Linked DNA regions of Arabidopsis thaliana. The protein of the gene in region 1 interacts with the protein of each later gene in a pairwise test. Each region holds a gene or a part of one and is shown in the gene's direction. Other genes may lie near its edges.

The links. Proteins that work in one complex are often made in the same cells at the same time.
Region 2: the proteins of AT1G44830 (region 1) and BHLH100 interact in a two-hybrid assay, tested with the Arabidopsis thaliana proteins (one large-scale study listed by BioGRID).

Annotation. Positions count from the first base shown.
Region 1 is NC_003070.9:16,928,473-16,936,756, forward strand, and holds AT1G44830 (Integrase-type DNA-binding superfamily protein), read left to right. Parts: upstream 1-5,226; 5' UTR 5,227-5,319; coding exon 5,320-5,955; 3' UTR 5,956-6,096; downstream 6,097-8,284.
Region 2 is NC_003071.7:17,195,964-17,204,353, reverse strand, and holds BHLH100 (basic helix-loop-helix protein 100), read left to right. Parts: upstream 1-4,899; 5' UTR 4,900-5,033; coding exon 5,034-5,315; intron 5,316-5,576; coding exon 5,577-6,023; 3' UTR 6,024-6,317; downstream 6,318-8,390. Other genes in the region: AT2G41250 (Haloacid dehalogenase-like hydrolase (HAD) superfamily protein), read left to right, coding at 1,803-2,093, 2,353-2,459, 2,740-2,848, 2,933-3,094, 3,196-3,369, 3,463-3,492. UniProt on the Arabidopsis thaliana protein: Plays a role in metal homeostasis. Confers tolerance to high zinc (Zn) and nickel (Ni).

The DNA of each region.
Region 1 (8,284 bases):
GCTTTAACACCCTTAAGTGGTTGGTAATAATCCTTTGTATATATATCAGACATTTGATTTGCCTGCATAATTCTCTAACTCTGAAGAGAAAATGTCATTGGTGCTTGGAGCATGATTTCACAAAGTGTTGATCTTTTTAGCTCTCAATGTTCTAATTTTCAGGAGTTGTTGTAACATATCACTTGCATAGCATCAGAGATTATTTCATATCACTTGATTTAGTTATTGACTTTACGGCTCTGAAAATAAACAAACCATTCGTGTGGGTCTTCTCTCCCCGAGTCTCGACCCTTCCGGTCTTTGTTTTCGCAGTTGTGCAACTTATGGTTCCGGTTTAGTTTCAACTTTCTTTCAGCTATTTTGCTTTGAAGATGGTTTTAAGACAACTTGAGCTTCATTTTTCCTGGCATGCGTTGTGGTTTATTCAGATCTACTTCATCTTCTATTTACTTGTGTTGGACTAAAAATTATTGGTGATTCTGTTCATGATGGTATCTTGAGCTGGAGATAAATTCTTCCTTTGGCGGCAATTTTGTTGTGGACCTTTCTCTCGTCGTGGACTTTAGTTTCTTCTTGTAAGCCCAAATGTTAGAAGAGTTTGTGCTGTTTTTCTCGGGAAAACGGGGAAAAAGTGTATTTCTACCATTTGTGAAAAGAGAATCTCTAAAATCACATAGTACTTGATCATCTAGTTTGAAACTTAATGTCTCAAAGTCAAATAAACCTTAATGTGTCATATGAACTACCATTATAGATCTATGTTCTCTATTAGTATGTGAGTCTCATTCTCGTTCGATAGTCGGCATGCTATCCTAGGAGATTAAAAAAAAAACTTATTTACCGATCCTATAAATTATCATGAGATCTTTTTATGTGTTTTATCCTCTGTTTCATTGTACTGGAAATCAGTTTCCAATAGATCACCAATAATTCAAGCATGATAAACTCTAGAGTTTAGTCGGTAAGTGTTACGAAAACGATAAGTACACCAGGCTTGGCCCAAATAGGTAGAGAAAGAGGCAGCGGTCTAGAGGCCTAGTCACATTTTTTCCTAAAAAATCTTATGTTTCAAAGCCCATTTTAATAAAAATATTTAGACTATAGCCCAGTCTTTTAATATTTAGATCCGCTTTTAAAAAATATTAGCAAAGGTCCAACATTTTTTTGTGTATAAATTTGCTCAAAAATATGAAAATTTTAGTTTAAATATATAGTAAGACCATCTTCAATGGTTAAGGTTCTTAACCTTGCATCTTAACAATTATTAAAATTAAAATTTTGGAACATGACACATAATTGTATTTATCACTCATAAAAAACTTTAAGCTAAGAAGTGAATTTTAGTTTTTAATCTGTTTTGAATTATTTTTCAGAATTTAATTCTAAGATATTAGCCTAAGATACACCTAAGATATACCATTGGAGGTGCTCTAAGGATCCAAAAAAGAAAGATTACCCTAAAACTCTAATTATTGTTGAGTCGAGGCTACTTAGTGACATAGGTAAACAAATCAATTTCCTTAAGCGCTTTTCATGTACAACTACAGTATAACCTCTATAAATTAATACTCGATAAATTAATAATCTCTATAAATTAATAAATTCTTCCGGTTCCGAGTTGGGACCAGTGTAAAAAGTAACACAAATCGATAAATTAATAAGATAATAATTTTTTTTAAAGTCTTATGTAAATATATGGTCCCATCAATATTATAAATTAATAATTGCATAAATATATCAATTATATATATACATTATATGTAAGAAATTTCTTTGAAACATATTTCTAATATTGTTTTGCTTAAATTTGTATTTATTCTTATTTGAAATTTAATTCTAATATGTTACTGTATCAAAAACTTTTACTGTTGTTTTCTATACATGATATTATTTTTAACTTGTAATTGATTCTACAAAGATATTTTCTAGAAAAAAGAATCTTATAGAAATGTTTTAAAAGTTACTAAATTAGGAAAGTCTCTCTATAAAATTTATTAATTTATCGATAAATTAAAACCTCTCTAAATTAATAAAATTTTACAATCCCAACATTATTAATTTATAGAGGTTTTACTGTATATTTCTAAAAATCAAGGTATATATTACCATCACCCTTACCAATCAAGCACAATGTCCTTGTTGCGTATCAGGGCCGTCATTTTCGATGGTGGGAGGTCACATGACTCCACACTCATCTAGGTTCAACTTTGATACCATTTATAGCGCCTCGAGTACCATTATCTAGGCCTTCATATCCACTCTCAACCTAAGGACCCTAACATCAAGTGATAGCTAGTGCACACCTATCATTTCTATAACTCATGGACCCCAAAAGCAATATTTTTTGTACCTCGTCCTAAAAAATATTTAGAGCTAAATTAAGCGTGTTTGAACTAAAATCATTGTTTTCAATGCATTGAAAAAAGGATTCAAAGATGAACGCACGACGAGATATCCCAACAAATTACAGATGTGGAAATGGGCTATTTAAACATTAGGACAAAGCTTTTGCCAAGATCGGACATCATTTGAAGACGTCAATGATGTCCATATGTTGTTCTAAGATAGGCTTCTTGACCATATGTTGATTCACAAACGCACTCAAATAGATTTAGACGATTGACTCTATATCTAACTAGGCAATATTAATCTCCTGCAGTGAACTTTGATGTAGCTCCTACAATTTGGAGCCAAGGTGGGAAAAACGAACCAGGCTTGAATCAATTTTACAGTATCAAAGAAAAAATATGTAAATTTTGGAGTATTGTCTCCTACTGAATTCACTCAACAACCACAACTAAAATCTTGAAATCTCTATTGTCATAAATCTTTTCTGCTTCTAGGAAATTTCTCAATCTAATGAAATCAAAAACAAAGGATTTGATTCTGTTCTGTCACAATCCACACATGTGCATTTGCCTCTACACCATCCAACACACTCTTCAATCCTAATGAGAAACTTCTCCGTACGTTCCTCTTAAGTTTCCACCACACGAATTTATTTCCACTCTGGCTTAACTCGTTACCATTAAATGTTTCTTTCTAATTTATTTCTTGTAACCACAAAACTTTGTTAAATATTTCTTGTAAGAAAAATATTGATTGATTGATAAGAAAGGTACGGAAGGTCATATATTGAGTACGGTGCCAGGTAAGATTGTCCAAACTACGAATAGGATATTTTTAGTGCAAAAGTACATGCATTATGCATGAATCTTCATTTATGATTCTATTTGTCTATTTCCTCAGGTAGGGTTCGCTCACTATTCTTCGTTAGGTAGCTAGCTTAATTGCTTTAGCTTCTCGGATTTTACCCGATCCGATCACTCAAGCTTTATGACACAATGTAACTCATCTTCTTCTTGTTCTTACACAGTTACACGTATAGCTTCAGACTGTCGAGCTCTAGACACTAAAACAATCAACAAAGAATGTGATTGGGTGAATATGGTGACATTGTGGTGAAAAGAAAATATTTATTGGTAAATAAAAATAAATGTAAAATAGTGAATTAGTTAAATGGTATGAAATGGAGATATCTTTCGGTGAATGAGAATGTTATAGTTGTTTTTAGAAAATAGCAAAGTCATATTGGTAAAATATTGAGAGAAAATGTAAAATGTTTTTTTTCCGTAAATGACTTTGAAAAGTATAATTTATTTGATAAGCTTGGATATACAAATATTTTAACCCGCTAAATAATATAGATATATCCAAAAACATAGATAACATGATTATATGACAAAAACATAAATATGTTTTATAAATTAGATGTCTACATAACGAAAATAATGTAGTAGAGGAAATGTGTTCTACAAGTTGTAGATATAAGAGCCAAAACATATAAAAACTTCATTTTGATAAATTAGATGTGCACATAGAATACTAATGTTAAAGAATTCGTCACGTAAGATTTAGTTATAACTATTATTTTTCTTAAAAGAAAGTAAAATAGTCAAAATTTGAATCATTCTCTTTAGATGGAATTAATTTGATTATTTATTCAAATACCACGTTTGTAATTACAGTCATTGAGTGCAAATATTAATATAAAAATGGTAGAACATTGTTGGTTTTGTTTTATCATAAACTTTTGTAAAATGTTGCCTGCATTTTCCAACGAACAATTCTGTTGATTCGTTTCTTGATATGAATAAAAAACCTTCATTATTGTTATATTATAGTACCCCAAAAGAGAAAAAAGAAATAGAGTCGTCTGGCTAGAACGTGAACACGAATAGATTAGTTTAGTAGTACTCTTACGCGTCTTAATTTAATTCTAGTGCCGACTAAATATAACCGCAGATTAGTTTAGTTAATAAACAGTGCAAGACTATTATGAGGTTTGACGATTTTACTTTAGTTTATTTAGTTAGTAGTACAATATTATTTAATATTACAATGCAGTTTGACAAAAGAATCTGAATTTAATTAATTTAGTAAAAGCCTTTTTACAGAGAGAATTTTACGTGTGACAAGGAGACACAAAGAGCTAGTTAACGCGGTTTTAAAAGTCCCATTAAGACAGAAGAGCACCAGCTCTTGTGCATTACCTTGGTAAACATGACTTCAGCTACTTTAACGTTTAAGATTCTGAATTATGTTTAGGCCTTTTAACCAAAAAAAAAAACTTGTAATTTTTGTATTATATATATATATATATATATATCTATAATCATGCATGTGATTTCATTTTGCATCTCATTTATCAAAATAATTCGATAGTTAAATTATTCTTATGATTAACTTTGTCTTTTGTTTGTACCTTAAAAAATCACATGCTCTTAGCTCCTAGAAGTTGCCTCTAAAAATAGAATCCAATGTTTCCTCTTATAATGTTTTATAACTTTCTGTCGTATCTTGATATTAATATTCTCATATGAGTACTGATTTTTGTTATTTACATTTTTATTCAAGATTCTGAGGCTCAAGAAGTAGTAACTTTTAGTTGTAAACAATAGTGTACTTTTGTGGAACTAAAGAATTAGCTTGGAGCCTTGGAGGTCAAATCAATAAATATGCATTTTTGAAAATAAAAAATAGGGATTCTCTTATTAGTGATCTGTGATTGGGTGTAGCATATGGGATTGTGATTAAGGAAAATCTTTTTTATAAATAAATTAAAAACACCTGTCTCTTACATTATTTAAAAGAAAAGTATTAATCTCTTTGTGTGTGCCCCATGCTACTTTCTTTGACTATGTTCATAGTATTTTTTTTTCTTTTGAGTTCTTTATGTTTCTCTTTCCATTTTTGTTCTCTATAAATAGAAACACACCATTCTTCTCCTCCAACTTCCTCCCTTAATTAGTATCAAAAATGGTGAAAACACTTCAAAAGACACCAAAGAGAATGTCATCTCCATCATCATCATCTTCATCATCCTCATCAACATCATCATCATCCATAAGGATGAAGAAGTACAAGGGAGTGAGAATGAGAAGTTGGGGTTCATGGGTTTCAGAGATCAGAGCTCCTAATCAAAAGACAAGGATCTGGCTTGGTTCTTACTCAACTGCTGAAGCCGCGGCTAGAGCCTACGACGCAGCACTCCTATGTCTTAAAGGATCCTCAGCTAATAATCTCAACTTCCCAGAGATCTCAACTTCTCTCTACCATATTATCAACAATGGTGATAACAACAATGACATGTCCCCTAAGTCTATACAAAGAGTAGCAGCTGCAGCTGCTGCTGCCAACACAGATCCTTCCTCATCATCAGTCTCTACTTCATCTCCATTGCTTTCCTCTCCATCTGAAGATCTCTATGATGTTGTCTCCATGTCACAGTATGACCAACAAGTCTCCTTGTCTGAATCATCATCATGGTACAACTGCTTTGATGGTGATGATCAGTTCATGTTCATTAATGGAGTCTCCGCGCCGTATTTGACAACATCACTTTCTGATGATTTCTTTGAGGAAGGAGATATCAGATTATGGAACTTCTGCTGATTCTACTTTCATTATACCTTATTCTTTGTTTCAATATATATACTTGAGTTATGTAACTTATACAATGTGTTATACATTTTTTTCTTCCCTTTTCTATCAATTCTCACAATGTATGGAACATTTGGGGATCTTTGTACCAATATCTAAATTATTTTTGAAATTAGATATTTTTCATGTTAAGAGTTCACTAAATCTAGTAGTAGTGGTTAAGTATGGAAATAGATTTATAGCTTTTGAACAAAGAACTTCGAATGATAACAAGTTAAAAGGTAAAAACGAAAAAGTACAGAATCATATTGTTGTTGATTAAATTCTGAAACCTAAAAGTTAAGAGTTAGTGTTGAAAACAATCATTTCAGATTTTATAGTATGAATGCAAAATTTGGCGTTACTGACTTTAACACTAACACTGTTTGATGTAAATGTGTACATGATACAAAATAAGTGGTGGTAAGATGACTATGCGATATAAGTACTGTATATATGATTTTTCTTTATTAAGGATATAAAAGTATTAGCTAATGAGTTAAACAGAAAGCAGATTTTTCATGTGAAAAGTTTTGCAAAGTCAAAGAGTAAGAAGCAAGTTTCATGAGGCTTGTCATAGAAGGCGATGATTAATCCTACTTAATTATTGTTGAATAGAGTAAGTGTATAAATATTATTTATTTAGAAGAAAGATAAGGAAAAAGAGAGAAGAGACAAGAGATGCAGAATGGTTTTGTGTGGTGACTGGTTAGAATTGGTAAAACCAAAGAGAAAGAGTTAACGTACGTGGAAAACTGTGTACGTTTGTGCTTAGATATCGTAAAAAAATTGACATCCATTTTACTCCAACATTGGTCTGAAGAAAAATCTAACAGTAGATTTGAGCAGAAAGCCACATGAGTTGTTTTGGTTTCTTGTTATGTGTGTGTTCTTTGTGAGATGGGGTCCCATGATTCACTCTCTTACCCTTGCTCCTCAGAAACTCCATCTCTATTTTTTTAGGTATGATTTGTTTTTCTTTAGATAAGTTCCCCCCCCCCCCCCTCAAATATACATTAATACCATTGGTGATACAAAACCATACAAGTTTGTTATAGGTAAAAGAAGGTATAAGCAATATCGGAATAGTTAAAGGCGGTGAAAATTAACTTTGAAAATAAAGACTAAGAATGATGCTTTTGGTAAAACTTTTGTGATTGGTAATTACTTTTAAGACTCCGATTGGTGATAAACAAAAGAAACGATAGGAATATGAATGAAAAATAACAAAAAGAAACAAGAAAAAAAGAAAAATGGTCATAAGTAGGAACCAAGAGGAACATAGGAATTGAACAAAATGATTATGGTAAATGGTAACCAGAAAGGTGAATTAATATTTAACATAATAATTACTAAAAAATTATTTATTGAATTTTGTTTATTAATTTCTTTTAAAATTAAAGTTTTGTATAAATTTAAAATAAATTATATTATAAATTTCTCTTCAAAACATTTATTTATTTTATAGTAAAAAATTCACTTTAAAACATTTATTTATACTAATTTAAAATAAATTCATAACATTCATTAAATTGAAAGTTTGATAAAAAACAATTTATATATCAATATATACTAAATATATGGAAAATTTTATATATATAATTATAAATATTATCATAAAAGCTATTTTAAATTTATTTAATAAATAAAAACGAATTTTATTTTTTTTGTTTCTCTTGGTTCCTCTACAATTTTGGAGTGGAACAATTTTGTTCTACCATTCTTTTTTTTTAGGAATGATAAGAAAAAATGTAGGACCCATATGTCTGAAAATGAAACAAATATACCTTGCAAATGATAAAAAAAAAACTGAGGAACAAAGATGAACACGACTTTCGTACTCATTTTTTTCCTCAAAAATGGTTAATAATCGGAGCCTAAGACATTTATTTTTGTAATCCACTTGTAGGGCCATTTATGGGAAAATCTTACAACTAAACATGTTTGATACAAAATAATCAAAGGATTGTCTATTATTCTGCTGAATTTGTTGTTTTCAATACACATGTGAGTCATGCAAAATCAAGTGGTAAAGAGTAACTGTCAGTCAAACCAAACCTTCGAGATCTCCATATGAACGTTTGTATTGCCAGAATAAAACGTTTTTAAGGTATTTTGTTTAATTATAAACGTGATTATGTTGACAAAAAAACGATGACAAAGTCACTCTACCAATTCAATTTTTTTTTTTGTCTCACGTTAAATAAGATATTAAAATGAAAGATGACAGTTTTCTGTGTTTGATTATTGAACGTTCAAAAACAGTGAAATGAGTAGGATCAAAATGATAATGAACAATGTT
Region 2 (8,390 bases), on another chromosome or scaffold:
TAATGTTAACTTCTATACATTCCAAAAACAATCGCACAATACCAATTCAAACCCTCCTCCTTCTTTTGGTAATATCACTAAAATTGATCTAAATGAAAGAAAAGAAAGCAAAAAGGGATTAGAAACAGAAACCATGAACCGACCGGTATAGGAGATAGAACTGAAATAGCACTACTTAGACCAAATTCAACATTTCTGATAAAATAACCTAACCAAACCATTATCTAAGCAAGAGAAGAGGCTAGCATAATGATTAGAAAACGTTATTACTTTTTAAAAATGGGTATCGAACGTTACTACGTTAGACACTCGAGTTCAGAGAGATCTTCATTACTGGCGTTTAAGACGTTTCATCTATTTCCCGAGTGATCCTTTTTGAACCCTTGGATGTTCTTCTTATTCTTATTTTACCAAATGAACTTTCTAAGTAAGTAAACATTATGAATAAATCATATGCTTCGAAATCTATTTAATACTTAACTGTTAGTTTTACTGGAAAAGGTTGGATAAAGAAAAACTTGAGAAGAAACGTCGTTTTTGAACGTTAACTCAAAATTCTCCAAAATGGGTCCAATTATGGATTTATGTTTCCTTATCCATAAGACTTTTTCTAATCTTCTTTAACATCGTGATGTCTTATTATACCACATAGACACATACGTATAAAGGACTCATTGTCTATCCAAAGAAACACTAAACCAAATCTTATTTTGTTCGTTTTTCCATACGAAATGATGAAATCGACCAAAAAGCTCATGAAATAAACCAAAGCCATAAAATTTTGTGGAACAAAACATTTTCCTTAGCCATGTTGGTGAATTCGGCATTTTGTTAATAGTCAATCAAATTATGCATAAAATGGCCCAAAACTATATACTCCTTAAATTTTGTGGCCCATATTTGTCAACACGTGGGCCCGTTTGTCAATTTATAAGCCACGAATTTCTAAAGAGGTCCCTCTAAAATAGACCAGTTCTTCAATTGTATCCTTATATTACTTTGCATGACACATAATTGGTTAGGGCCCAATTTTCCCACTTCTTTTCTTTTCATGACTTTTATCCAAAAATATTTGTGGATAAAACTTTTTATCCTTGTCGATGTGAAAGCTAAAATTTAATGAAGCTTAAGCTTAACCGTTTTTCCACGAAATAATAGTATCCTTCTCGATGTGAAAATAAATACTACAAGAAAACTAATTGTATGCATTTATTCCTTTTTATTGGCTAATTTGATGTTTCAACAACGTAATATATCATCAATCAGACAAGTAGACGTTTGTGAATTCTTGAAGAATATCTGCATGTAAAACACGGATCCATATATCAATAATCAATATATAGAACAAGATAAATAATTCTGATTGAAAAAGAAATAATGATAAATCTTTTTTTACTTTTTGTTTTTTTATAAAGAAAGATAAAGCTATTTTTGTGTGTCAAGTACATAACTTTAATCTGGATCTCAACTTTAAAAACCAAAATTCAAAACACAACCCTTTCTTCATATCTCAGGATTATAAGACTCATATGGTTTCTTTAACAAAAAAAAAAAACTCATGATTAAAGATTAAGAGTGTAATAACAAGTTTTTAAAAATGCCACATCATCAGTTCTTCTGATTAGCGGATAGGGTAGAAAAACTGTAGACGGATAATAATATGAAAGGGTATAACCGTAACAACACATCTCTCTTTATGCGTTAAAGATTCTCCGCACACGCTTCTTCTCCTTTTATAATCCCCAGACGAAGACGAAGCCGAAGATAACGGAACAATCAAATCAATCATACAGAAGCAGCTAATGGCGTTGAGAATCAGGAAGGCGACGACGACACTTCTCTTCTCCGGTGGGATTACTCATGGAACGGATCGGATCGCGAGAACCGGAGCATTGCTCAGCCGTTGGATCTCCTCTGCTTCGTCATCTTCCGCTGTTGTAGCGGATGATGAATCTAGTGGGATTTACGGATTGGGAAGTGTGTTGAAAGAGTATGAAGATTATAGGAGATCTCTCTATGGTGAGATCACTCATAAGGCTTTGCTTGTTGATGCTGTTGGTACTCTCCTTGTTCCCGCTCAACCTACTGCTCAGGTCTCTCAAATTTCTCTGTTACTTTGTGTGATTCAACAGTTGAACAAATGCTTCACATGTTTCTTGCTCTGTGATTGAAATTTTTTAGAAAGCTATGAGCATTTTGAGGATTCATGTTTGATTCTGAGTAAAAATTTGATGCTTATTGTTATGTTAAGAATGTCTTAGGCTTTTTATGATCTCTGTTTGTTCTTAGAAGAGTAGATAGAGATTTTTATTGTGTAGATTCTAAGATGTGTTATGGATTCTGATTTTGTAGATATATAAGAATATTGGAGAGAAGTACGGAGTGGAGTACTCGGAGGCTGAGATACTTACTAGATACAGAAGAGCTTATCAGAAACCATGGGGTGGATCTCATCTTAGGTATTTAGAATCATCTTCTTTCTCTTTTTGTTTCTTCTACTCCAAGAAAATCACCACTAGGCAAAATGTTCTTTTGTGGCTTTCTATTTGTTTGTATGACAACTTTTAATACTTGATCATGATTATGACTCTAGTGATGCATCTCCGTACAAAGATATCTGGTTTAATACTGACTCTTTCGAATATACATTTGCTGTGGAATCTCTGTTGGATTCATAAATGGGTCTGCTTAAGACATTTACTTCTGTGCTGGTCTTGATTTTTGATTCTTTGTTTGTAGATATGTAAACGATGCAAGACCTTTCTGGCAGTATATAGTGACTGCATCAACAGGCTGCTCGGATTCACAGTACTTTGAAGAGCTTTACAGCTATTTTACTACAGAACAGGTTTGATCTCTACTACTACTTCTCCATATGCTTCAGTAATAGTTTTGGTTCTTTCTCTTGAGATTTCTCCATTTGCTTTCCCAGGCGTGGAAGTTATGTGATCCAGATGCAGGGAAAGTGTTTAAGGCTATTAAAGAAGCGGGTGTAAAAGTTGCAATAGTCTCCAACTTCGATACTCGGTTAAGACCTCTCCTACGTGCATTGAGATGTGAAGATTGGTTTGATGCTGTAGCTGTTTCAGCAGAAGTAAGATAACCTCTTTTCGTTTATATATTTTTGTTGATGATCCGAAACGTTTTGGGAGTGAGTGTGTAAATACTTAAGGTTTTTGGTTGAATGTTTAACAGGTTGAAGCGGAAAAACCAAACCCGACTATCTTCTTAAAAGCTTGTGAGTTATTAGAAGTGAATCCCGAGGATGCGGTTCATGTAGGAGATGACCGTAGGAATGATGTATGGGGAGCTAGAGACGCAGGCTGTGACGCTTGGCTCTGGGGAAGTGAAGTTACGTCATTTAAACAGGTAAACGAATCTCTCTGGTTTTGCTCAAATCTCTCAAGAATTTAAAAATCATTGGTTTACTTGAAATGAATGTGCTTTTGTTTTGTTCTGCAGGTTGCTCAACGGATAGGAGTGAAGGTCTGAAGCAAAAGCATATGAGAGAAATGGTTCAGAGACATGTTCAGACTTCAGTTTTAGCTTCTTCTTTTTTTGTGTGAGCAGTTTTGTATATTCCATTTCTCTTTTGTAGCATAATGTGTGTAATATATGTTGCGGCTAATGTAGAAAACCAGAAAACAATGTATAATAAAAGATCAATAATAAGCTTCATGATCGTTCTTAATCCGAACCGAAGTGTTGTACTGTTTTCGACATTTGCTTATAAAAGAAGGAGAATTGAGTTCTTTAAATATGTGATCAAGAAGAGATCAAGAAAAATGGAAATTTAGAGTTGAACCTAGGCAACGTATGGACAATACCAAAAGTTGCCAACATATCAATGGATAAATCTAATCAAACTGTATCTGTGATTATTGTGGGTTGTATTTTAACATTATGTTCATAATTGTTGACAAATAGTCAAATACTTCACATTTTAGAGATTATCTACATATAATGGGCTACAAACATGTAAACTCATTGCAAAAAAAAGAAAAAGAAAAAGCAATTATCTTAGGGCCAATTGTTTTTAGAGAAGCCCATTTAGATCTTTGGATTTAAAGAGGCGTAAATAGAATGAGGAAAAATCCAAAATATCTCCGTCTCTCTTTTATCCTCGTCCATGGATAATAGAATAGAATCAAGGCTTTTGGCCTGACCGAGATGACCGGAGTTGACTTGTGTAATATGATCAGAAAGGCTATAATATAATACAAAATAAACGATAGACACTACACCATATAAGATGTAATTAATAAATTTAAATAAGGAATATACATTTGTTAAATATTTGTAAACACTTAATGCCTACGTATATACTACATAGAAATGGTTGGATTCAGGAGAAAAGCCTTAACATATTCCACGTGATTTGCTCGTGCCTCTCAATAGTCCACGTCCACCAAACCCGTGTATCCTCGTGTACTTCTTCTCAGTGTCTGTCTCTTTTCTTCCAGCTGCGTCATAATTCATATTTTTGGTCTTAGTTTACTTAACGTATTTGTGGTAGAAAAATGTGATTGCATATTCTGTATCTTCTTATAGTAGTTGTTCCTATTTAACTGTTATTTTTTGCTAACTAAATAATTTGCTTAATAAATCGAATTTCTATTTTGACACATTATAAAATATTTAGAATTTTTGATTAATACTCATACATTCATATTCATGTAATTATACGATACAATAGTGTAAACTTATGTTATAAATTACGATAAGAACATTAGGATATTAATGCCTGTATCCGGAGGTCAACAGGTGATCCTTGGAACATGCTCCTACTTGGGGGAAAAGTGCTCAACCACGTGTCAACGCATGTCCACTCGTGACCCAATGTATTTTAATTTATTACATATACAACACAGAGTCATTAGTATTTTTCTTGTGTCCGTGTGTGTGTATCAGTGTATATATAAACAAAAATGAGTGTCCACATAAATAATCCAACTAACACATCAGCATAATCCCAACCGAAACAGCTTCTAGAGAGAGACAAAAAAGAACAGAGTAACTATCTAAAACTCAAAATGTGTGCACTTGTCCCTCCATTATATCCCAATTTCGGCTGGCCTTGCGGAGATCATAGCTTCTATGAAACCGACGACGTATCCAACACGTTTCTTGATTTTCCGTTGCCGGACTTGACGGTGACTCATGAGAATGTGTCGTCTGAGAATAACAGAACATTACTAGACAATCCCGTGGTGATGAAGAAGCTTAATCACAACGCGAGTGAACGTGAGCGTCGCAAGAAGATCAACACAATGTTCTCATCTCTTCGTTCTTGTCTTCCTCCCACCAATCAAACGGTAACTGTTAATTCTATATACTTTTCTATTTCTAAAATTATGAAAAAATTTGAAAGTTTAGTTTAATATTCAACAGAAACAAAAAAATATCAAATGTTTTCTTGCAAATGCTAAAAGTTGTTATTCATTGCTTTTGCAATTTTGGTGTTGATACAAACAGTGATATGTTTTGTTTTTTCTAACGCAAAGAAGGAAAAAAAAATCGGTCCCAAGTAACATAAACTGAAAGATCTGTCCTATTTTTTATGTATTTTCTTGCAGAAGAAGTTAAGTGTTTCGGCAACAGTTTCACAAGCATTGAAGTACATACCAGAGCTGCAAGAGCAAGTTAAAAAGCTCATGAAGAAGAAAGAAGAGCTCTCGTTTCAAATTTCGGGTCAAAGAGATCTCGTTTACACCGACCAAAACAGTAAGTCAGAGGAAGGGGTTACAAGCTATGCGTCGACAGTTTCTTCGACTAGGCTCAGTGAGACTGAAGTGATGGTCCAAATTTCATCGTTACAGACTGAAAAATGTTCGTTTGGGAATGTCTTGAGTGGTGTAGAAGAAGATGGGTTGGTTCTTGTGGGTGCTTCATCTTCAAGGTCTCATGGAGAGCGACTCTTTTACTCTATGCATCTTCAGATAAAAAATGGCCAGGTGAATTCCGAAGAATTAGGTGATAGATTGTTGTACTTGTACGAGAAATGTGGACACTCGTTTACATGATTTAATAATTAACGATGCTATATATATTTTTTCTGTTTTGTCTCTCGTTAAAATTCGAGGTTCTTTTTAGAAATAGGTTTTTTTTTTGTATATTAATTTTAATATATTATATTATTTTGGCGAAATGAAAGTTTCACGGGCAAACGTTTTGGTACCGATTTGGAAGGAGAACAACGCGAACATGGGTTGTGTGCAACAGTGTAAAGGTTTATATATCTGTGTATATTTTATGAGGATTTGTCATCTCACATCTGTGGTTACACACCGATGTCATATGTGGACACTAATTATCTGAAAGTCTTTAACAAAAAAATCATCTGAAGTCATTTTTTTAACCTTTCGTATTCAATTTTTTTCCGTTTGATTCGGCAAAATTACATATTTAAAAACCCTGAAATCAAAACAGAAGCACATAACTTATGGATGGTGAATCAGTGTTTAAAAACACATAATAATCTTCCCAATTATCAAGCCTGCCTGATCTAAAATTAGGTGAATGATCGCTTTTGGGCCTTAATTGGAAGAATAATTTTGGCCCATTTTGTTTCAAATAAATACTAAGGCATATTTGTTTGCACCAAAAAAAAAAAAAACAAGCATATTTGTAAATTAAAAATAATATCCTAATAAAATACCTAATCTTATTTTCAAATTTAGTTTTTAGTGTCTTAAATTTTAACATGATCGATTATATTACCTAGCTATGTAATTTATAATATACAAAGAAAACCAAAAGATCTTCGAAATGTTTAAGTCTTTCTTTCTAGTTTGTCTTACCATAAATTCTTTAACCAAAAACTGCAAAGGGAATAACTTTTCTGGGTCGACTGCATCAACGAAGCTGTAAAGGCCTACCAAGTTGAGAAGGAGCAGACCAAATAAAAAATGAAACTACTTAAAATAGAAAAATGTTGAATATAAACCAAATGGTCAAATAATAAATACCAAAGAAAGGCCAAATCCACGGGAAAGCATATAAAACCACTGCTGTTAGGTGCAATGCATCCTCCATATTCAAAATCTACGAATAATGAAAATTTCTCGATTTTTTATTTTGCTGGCACCACCCAACTTGCTTTACTATTTCATTAAATTCGGCAAATGCTCTATTTATTTTCATTAATATTACATCTTGTATTTAATATTGTGTTACTGAAATACGTTTGCCGTTTTTAAAGAGTTCGTATAAACCATTAGGCTATCAACTTTGTGTTTTTAGTGTGATAAATAATGTTTTTGCAGGAAGTGAAATTTGCTAGTTAAAATATTATTCAAAATTATCAAATTAAACATAATTTACCTATACTGTTTATTGACTTTATTCCCTTTTTTTTTTCCTTTTTTCTGTTGGTTTAGTTTATCAATTGTTCCTGCTATCTAATATGAGAATTTCTTCTATTTTACTACATAATTCAATTATTTTGGTTGAAGAAAATGATAGATAATAGCCAATTCTTTTCTGTTAGTTAAAAAAGAAGTCTTTTAAAATTTTATTTTGTTTAATGTAAGTTTGTGATTTTCTCAAGGAGGAGAAATGTAGACAAAGGACCTCATTGGGACTCCAACAAAACAATGTACAACAGGAAAGTACATCAGCCTCCGGTCCCCGTCAACTTACCTATAACATCTAAAAAGCATTGGGATGTTCATGCATCTACCTTTTCTCTTTGCTTGCAGTAAAAAACATTTCTTAAGCCTCTATTCTTCTAGAAGTTTCAGTACTACTAATAATAATCATGTACCTAGATTATTTTTATTTTTTTGTTAAGAAACTAGATTAAATTCCTATTACAGTTTACTTTTTACAATGGAATCTAACAACAACACCAACACCAACAGAGTCTCATTAGCTACTGAAACTAACATAATGGATTACATTGTCGATTCTAAAAAGTAAGGTTAAAATATATTACGTAAACTAAATTTTCTTTTGCTATTAGTACGTAGTGTGGTATATCATTGATGATAAATTGCAAAATTAGTTTGTATTTCGTTTTAGACAGAAGTAATAGTAACAATTATGGTTGAAGCCAACAAACACGAAAGAGAGTAAAAAACTAAAAACAAGGCTGGAGAGTGAAATTAGTTGATTACTTGAATCAAGACATATAGACATAAATCACAGCTGTGACCTGAAACCGGCACTTTGGAATTACCCTTTTTGCACATTTCTTGACTATGCATTTATATCCTTCTAATGCAAAATCTAACTCCCTACTTGATTAGTCTTAAGTTTTCTCAAGTGGGGTTCTATTATTTATTTATTATTGTAACTTGGCCCTTTTGTTACTTTGGACAGGGTCTATCATCGACAAAAGAAAAAAAAAGTAATATTACCACTAATCAAAACATAAAGAAATATTACAT